Neurospora crassa OR74A: one gene and its partner. The protein of the gene in region 2 interacts with the protein of the main gene of each other region in a pairwise test. Links are inferred from orthologs where the notes say so. Each region holds a gene or a part of one and is shown on either strand. Other genes may lie near its edges.

Evidence for each region. The genes of interacting proteins can lie anywhere in the genome.
Region 1: the proteins of hH1 (region 2) and hH2Az interact in binary tests that used the Saccharomyces cerevisiae proteins (3 or more experiments, as listed by UniProt). The link is inferred for Neurospora crassa OR74A from reciprocal best matches to the Saccharomyces cerevisiae genes HHO1 and HTZ1.

Annotation. Positions count from the first base shown.
Region 1 is NC_026502.1:1,390,024-1,394,235, forward strand, and holds the start of hH2Az (histone H2A.Z), read right to left. Parts: upstream 2,801-4,212; 5' UTR 1,682-2,800; coding exon 1,571-1,681; intron 1,080-1,570; coding exon 948-1,079; intron 839-947; coding exon 650-838; 3' UTR 1-649. UniProt on the Saccharomyces cerevisiae protein: Variant histone H2A which can replace H2A in some nucleosomes. Nucleosomes wrap and compact DNA into chromatin, limiting DNA accessibility to the cellular machineries which require DNA as a template.
Region 2 is NC_026507.1:545,801-549,484, forward strand, and holds hH1 (histone H1), read right to left. Parts: upstream 2,367-3,684; 5' UTR 2,172-2,366; coding exon 2,049-2,171; intron 1,995-2,048; coding exon 1,968-1,994; exon of another isoform or gene 1,797-1,967; coding exon of another isoform or gene 1,788-1,796; coding exon 1,765-1,787; intron 1,600-1,764; coding exon 1,469-1,599; intron 1,402-1,468; coding exon 995-1,401; 3' UTR 501-994; downstream 1-500.

The DNA of each region.
Region 1 (4,212 bases), on a different chromosome or scaffold from region 2:
ACCTGCAACCAGTACCAACCGACACGTTCATTTAACGTGTCCTGATGTTTTCCTCGCTAAGCCCTCATGGCCGAGTCGTACTATAAAAAAAACGATAAAGAAGATTCATGTTGTTACAGATATCGTAAAAGAGCTGCTGTCGCACGCCGCGCCGTGACGAGGGGAGATTGCTCGCCGTTCCCAGTGTGTGGTGCACTCCAAGATGACATTATACAGTGAATGGTCTCCCTGCTCATCGCCACCCAAGCGGCTTCCACGTCTGGATGATACAGAACGCTTCGCTTTTCGTGTGTGTTCCGAACGCACCACTCTGCTGGAAGTGTCGCAAGGGAAGTTCGCCGTCGTCTATGCGCTGCGCTTGTTGCCGTCGCAGACACCGGGAGTGCTCGGCTTTTTCAAGCCATGGTTCGGTGGGCCCCAAGCCCGTGTGCGTATCCCAACAACAAATAATAGGAAGAAAATACCCAACAATACAGCGGCGTTAGTGTTGGATTAGCGAAGACAATCCCCAACCCCCCCGGCATCACCCCGTGACATCCCTTGAACAAGCCGATTGCTGTCCTGCCCGTCAGCCCGGAGCGGGGCTAGAGAGATGCAAGACAGTGTGCGAAACGTGTGCGACGTCGAGTTTTTCGGTGCAGTTGTGGACTTAAGCCTCCTGAGCCTTGGCCTTCTTCTTCTGCTCTACCTTGAGCAGAAGGGCGCGGTTAATGTGGGGGAGGACACCACCGAAGGCGATAGTGGCGCGGATGAGGGTATCAAGCTCCTCATCTCCACGGATGGCAAGCTGAAGATGGCGGGGAGTAATACGCTTGACCTTCAGGTCCTTGGCAGCGTTCTATACAACGGAAATCATTGAGTTAGCCATAAAGCAGGTAAAACTTGGAAATGGGAGCCTCCTCGTCGCCAAGCAATATGGCCGAGCGGATGGGGTATGAATGACTTACACCCGCAAGTTCGAGGACTTCAGCAGTCAAATATTCCAGCACGGCAGTAACATAGACGGCAGCCTTGGCGCCAACGCGCATCTTGTTTTGGGTGTTCTGCTTCAGGAAACGCTTGACACGACCGCAAGGGAACTAATTAGATTCAAGTCAGCATGGCGCATCAGACACACGGCAAACTCCAGAGGACGGAAATGCACGCCGCAGCTCCGCCTCGTTGTCAGAGCGAGAAATCCAAAGTTAGGGACCGGAACAAGGTCCGGGTGCGGGGCCAGGGCGAGAGAAGGATGCACAGAACAACGCGTCCATATGAAGCCGAAATAGTATCGCGTACGGGGCGCAATGGGGGTTTTTTTCTTTTACCCAGCGGCGGGGTTGTGTGCGACCGACGTGTGAGGCAGCGAGTTCGCGTTCTTCGTAGGTTGGCACTATGGGGTTGTCCGGAAATGTAGGGGGCTCGGTGGACGCGTTGTGGTGTATCGGCGTGATTCCATCGACATCTGACGACAGGGATGGCGGATGCGAGCAAAAAAAAAGTTGGTTGATGAGACGACGTCGATGGTGCAGATCGGAGCAGGAATTGAAAGCGGACAGAGCCATGAAGCTCGTCAACTATAAAAACGTACCTGAAGACCAGCGCGAGCAGAATGGCTCTGCTGCTTCTTGGGACCTTCGACGCCCGAGGTCTTTCCACCCGAGCTCTTGCCGCCAGACGACTTGCCCTTTCCGCCAGCCATTGTGTTTGTTTGTTTGTTTGAAGGGATTGAACGGGGTGGGATGGTTGTGCGCGGGATGGGCGGATGGACGTAGTGTCGAGAATAAAACCGGTGGTCGTGACGATGCTGGATGTTGATATTGACGGGGCAACGGCGCGGGATTTGCGTGGAACTGGTGGAAGTGGATGAAGCGGGGTTGGCGGATGGAAAAGTGGTGTTTTGGCCGGAAGGATGATCGCGACGAGGTTTGGTGTTGAAGTTGGCGCCAGGAGACGCTCGAAAATTCAGAAGGGCCGAAGATGCATGCCACTGATGGGCCCTTTGATGTTGTGTCCTTCCAGGTGATTGCCCGCCGTGTTTGAGCGCAACCGCGCCTGAGACATGCGTCCGTACAGGAGGGAAGGTGCCGACGTCCAAGCTAAGCGAAGGGATGGAAGCTCGAGCTCAGTCAGCTAACAGCCAGCTCCCGTGGGTGCTTTGCTTGCCGTGTGTGCTGATTTGTCGCTGTTGCTGATTTTTTTTTTTTTTTTTTTTTTTTTTTTTTTTCCTCCTCCGCAGAGGGAGGGTAGGTAGGTTAGTGTAGGTAGGTAGGTAGGTACCTTGGGGTAACCTTGGGTACGGCGAGCCAAGCAGACCACTTGACCAATTCGAAGGGAGCTCCGAGGCTTGGCAATATCATGAAGCTCCAGGCAAAGGCCCAGCCAGCAAGGCCTCGAGCCAGCCATGACGACCCAGTGAGGTCCATCTCGAGACAGATAGCCAGACCTCAACTCAGCCTCGCAAGGGCCGTGGCTGACACGGTCTTGCAGAGAACCTTGCCGACATCTCCGCAATGAACGGCCCAAGAAAAGGCCTCCCAGGACAAGTCCATGTGATGCAAGGGGAGTCGCATACCTCACTGTTGCCCGACGTTGAGAGCACCTTTCTGGTTTGAAGCCATGCAGAGATCCGCGACGGGCACTGTCCGGGCCGGCCACCCAGCTGGTTAAGGCGGGCCAAAAGCCGTCAGAGTCTTTGGCAATGAAGGCCTGAGCATCTTCACAGCAGATTTGCACGCTTTTCCGAGGCTGGCGTGGTGTTGCAGAGTGTCTTGAAATGTTGCTCAGATAGTGTGATTCGGAGCCTTGGGTGAGCCTTTGCCAATCTGCCGCTGGTTGTTGTGGTCCGTGACCTTACTCCAAAAACTCGTCGCAGCCGTGCCAAGCTTTCACGTTACGACATTTCAACTGGCGCAGTGTCTGCCAGCTGTCTGCGCTTGAGCAGACCGAGCTGTCTGTTTTCAGTGGTGACTGAGGTTCAATTCACAACGAACTATGTAAGCTCCCAACATGAACGCTTCAAACAACGTAAATCGTGCAAAGATGCACACAGTAATTGTGTGCCTTCTTCACCACTCTTCAATTCCCTCTCGCAATCCTCGCCAACCTCTCAGCCTCACATCTCCGTCTTTCCACTCTCTGCAATACCTCCAGCCTATGACGGTCGTTGCTGATCGGGTCCTGATGCCCCGAAACCCGATCCGATACTTGGGTGGTAGTGTCGTGGATGTATCTGTTCATCATGGAGCCGTACTCTCTTCTTCTGGTGACACAAGATGCATTAGATAACTACTTTTGCCATTCCGCCTGTAATATGGAAGCCTTTGGATTATGTTTGTAGCTCAACAGCCAACTACCAAAGGGATGCCGACGTACGACGGGATTCTAGGATTGGGAAAAAGATAAAAAGAAACCATGGCAAGACCCACTTCGGAGCTTGGGCCGGTGCGGGTAGATCCCCGGCTCCCGATGTGGGGCCGACCGCCGCGCCATTTGAGCCATTGCCGCTACCGGTGTTGCCAGCACCGCCGCTGTAATATGTGCTCATGATGAAATGTACTATCCGACTGTCGTATATAGTGTACGCTACTCCAGCGGGAAACTCAGTAGGTAAAGATGATGGATAGAGGTAGCATGGTAAGTAAGGTGGTGTGCATAGGTCTACTTCGAGGAAAGAAAAAAAGACTTTGTTCTCAGGCAGCGAGGAAGAGCACTTTATATCTTCTTACATGTAGGTGTTCATCCTCCAAGATGATCATCAAATCGTACTCGTAATCCCTGGAACTTATGGCAACGTGCCTGCTCTCACCAACCTCTGTGACCGTTGCTTGTCATGAGGCAGAACACTCGCCTCGATCTGGCTGTGAGCCCATGTTAATGCCCGCGCTGGGCGGGTTGAAAGCAGCAACAACCCAACAGAATAAGAAAAAACCGAAGGGATTGAGGCGATGACGATTCAAGACAAAGTGAGTGAACTGAATAGAACTGATTCGTCAGATAGTCATATGGAAGCCATCGGCACTCGGGACTCCGTGGTATACCGTGGTATAATAGGCGTGAAGGGTGAAGCTTCCGCGCGATGCCTAGCAGACAGCCCTAGGCTCCATTCCACCCCTGTAACCGAAAAACCGCTGCGGGTGGAGTGAAGCATGTGACATAATAGATAGGATAGAAGAGAAAATGCGCAGTGGAATCGAGGACTGGTGGGTGTCACCCCTGCTCAGAGCGAAGTGA
Region 2 (3,684 bases):
GTTTTGGGTGTTTTGCCGGCAAAAAAAAAGTCGGGGCATCAAATTTGTAAACAAACCTGGAACAGGGGAGCGAGCGAGGAGCGAGCCGCCCACAACCTAACCATAGTCGCGTTCCCGCCCACCGGCCGGATCCCCGTTGTTGTGCTCGTCCCAGCCAACTCTTAGTTCGCTTCTTGCTTTTCAATCCTTTTTCACCGCACCCCACAAAACTTAGATAATTTGTTGCAATATGATCAAAAAAAAAAAAAAGTGTTTGCGAATTTCGTTCGTCGTAGCAATAGGGTATCCCTCGTGATATATTTCAGATACAATGAAGCGATTGAAGCCGCCTTCTCGCCTCTGGACTCAGCATCACTACCAGACCGCCAGATCATCGCTTCAAGGTCCTTCGCTCCAAACTTCGTATTCATCAAACCAAATTCTCGGCTTTTTCAGAACTACACTGCGAAATCGTCAGGTAGCCATGTCAAACTAAAAGGGCAAAGCGCTTGCTCAGGGTATTTGAAGAAGAAAAAGTGGTATCGTTCCAAGACGGATTATATATGCAATGCAGTATCCAAGATAAGGCTTTTTGGTGTATGTCCTTCGCTTCTTGAGACACCCTCGAAGCCGCCGGTCGCCCGTTTCCCATTTCCCAATCATCCATAGGTTGTAGCCCAAACCTACCCTCCGTTGCGTTTCAGCACAAACGATCCAAACCTCCTCAATCCCCATGAGTGATGTGTGAATCCAAGATACATGAAAGCCAGAAACAAGAAGCTACCCCCCGCGCGCGCTGTGGCGATGTTGTGAAAAAGAGCAAAACGCGTTGACTTGTAGACCAATGAAAACCCCCCCTTATGTTGATAAGTGTTCCCAAGCAATATGATTCCCCAAACGCCTTTCGAGTAAGCCCGTCACATCGCAAGTGGTGGTGAAAAAATGACTAAAGACATCATGAGAAGAGACCGAGGCGCAAAAAAAGAGACAAAAACATCATCCCAAAGGAACGAGTTTATGCCTTCTCGGCAGCGGGCTCGGCCTTCTCGGCCTTCTTGCTGGCGGCAGCCTTCTTGGGAGCAGCGGCCTTCTTGGCGGCAGCAGGCTTAGCGGTGCTCTTGGCGACACGGCCAGACTTGGTCTTGGTGAGGACGGTCTCCTTGTCGGCAACGGCAGGAGCAGCGGCCTTCTTCTTGGGGGCAGCCGCCTTCTTCTCCTTGACCTCCTTCTTGGGAGCAGCAGCCTTCTTGGGGGCAGCCGCCTTCTTGGCAGCAGGAGCCTTCTTCTCCTTGGTCTCCTTCTTGGCGGCACCCTCCTTCTTAGCGGCAGCGGGCTTCTTCTCCTTGGTCTCCTTCTTGGGAGCAGCCTTCTTGGGAGCAGGCTTAGCGACCTTCTTGGCAAGCTTGGTGCCACCGGAAGGACCTATATCGTGTGTGAGCATGCAAAGAGTAATACAAGGAGATGATGCGTCATGTGGGTGGTGACATACCCTTGGGCTGCTCAAAGACACCCTTGTCGACACCGTTCTTCAAGGCCTTGTTGAAGAGCGAGTCGAACATGTTGTCGGTGACGTTGCCGAGCGTGTTGTTGGCACGGACATACTTCTTGAGAGCTTGACGGCTGTGGTGTGCGTTAGCAACATGTTGTGATCCTTCATCGCGTCATGGAAATAAGAATGAAAGTGGTCATCGGTGCGACCGTAGGAAGGGCCCGCAAGGTTTGCGGTGTGGCTTGGCAAAGCCCTGGTGAAAAAATGAGAAAAGTAAGCAGAAAAATGGCACATACCTAGATCCAGCGCGGTCCTTGAGCTGTAGCATGACAAAAAGAAGGAATCAGCACGACTGAGGGACAGTAAAAGGGTGGTGAGTGGTGTGGGTGACTCTTGGTTGCGTGCATCATGAGAGCAATTGTCTCATTTTGCTCACCGACCAGAGAAGCGCCCACAACCAAAACACGCCACAACAAAGATAATGAGGGGGTTTAAATACCGCAACAATAGCGTCCGTGATCATGTCCTGTTTGAATGTTAGCAAAAGATGCGTTTCTCTTGGGGATTAAGTAAAGCTTACAAGGTAAGAGGCATGGGTGCTGGGGCTCTTGGTCTTGGGAGCAGAGGTGGGAGCAGCGGCGGGAGCAGGAGCGGCGGCGGCAGAGGCATCGGCGGCCTTGGTCTCGGTCTTCTTGGGAGGCATGGTGATGGATGTGGTTGTGGTTTTAGGGCTGGAGGCTGAGGATATCTTGCTGAAGATACAACTGGATGAAAGGGGCGTGCAAAAGGTTCAGTTGAGGTTGGATCGTGGACTGGGAAACAAAGGACGAGAGGAGGATGGGTGGGCTCAGTCGCGCTCGAGGGGGGAAGATTGGGTGTTTATATACGGAGGCGGGGTCTCCTGGCGCGACCGAGTGATTTCGCTGATTCTTCCCTGCCCCTGCCCCGACGGACCTCCCGTCTCCCCCTGCGACCTGGGGGGGGGGGCCTCTGTGACCTCCTGGAAGCCGCTACCCCCAGCCCATTTCCCGGGGATATGTGGCCCGTGCACCCCACTAACACACGCTGAAAGAACGAAAGAAGCCGGCCAGTGGCCCCGATTCCTGTTCCCTCGTTCCATGTCAACACGATGTGGAAGCTGGGGCTCCGGACCTTTTCCTTTTCGCTTGTCTCATGAAGGAAGGGGAAGAGACCTCGAGAGCATCGATGCTTCGTTGTGTGGTTGTCGATGAGATTTCCCGTCCCTACAGTAGGTACCTATCCTCTCGGTCGCCATCCCCATCCCCTTCTCCTTCCCCTTCCCCCTCCTCCCTCTCCCTCTCCCCCCCCCTCCCCTTGTCTTCCCGTTTCCATGGACTCGGCTGGAGATGCAGTGGTGCTGTCCCATGTCCCATCGATCCCACTTGTTCTTCTTTTTTTTTTTCCCTTTCCCTTTTCCTCTTCCGTTTCTCCTCTTTTTAGAAACCGATTGGGGTCCAGGGGAGTGCGGATGCCGATGGATGTCCATTCCAGATGGAGTCTGGTCCGGACAGATTGGATGATCCAAGGTGGGACACGGCATCATTCACTGGCCCCAAAAGAAGCATGTTCTGCCGCCCGTCACCTCTCCTCGTCGACTCGCAGGTTATCAGTGTGCCTGTGTGTGTGAGGTGGCATGGCATGTCGCATATCGGTCGGTCGGTCGGCATGGCTGGCTGGCTGGCTGGGTTGGCACAATCGAAGCCGCAGGGCATCAATCCATCCATCCCGCATCCCATCTCTCAGATTCAGTCGGTATCTCGCCCATCCCATCATCTTCTATTTATCTATTTATCTCTCTTCTTCAACAAGAAAGCAACGTCAACCAACAGGATGAATCATTGCATGGCTACACTACCTCATGCTTCCGACGACTCGACAGCAATTTGTTACTCACCATTGTTTCACTCAAGCCCCGGATGGCTGCCCGATTGCTTATTTATCAACAACAGATCCCAATGGATCATGATACATAGCAGATGCGGACCTGCTTTTAAAAAGTCGACTCCGAGTCGCTTAGACTGCTACTGACCTTGCAAATAGAAACAGAGAACAGTCCGTCTTACCTATTACACAAGCGGACGGATTCACCCCCCAGCTTGCGACACCTCGCAGCCTGGCGCTGGCGCACTCTTTCTCCTCATTTCACCAGACACCACATGGCCGGCACTACACCATCACACTCGACGAAAAAAGGG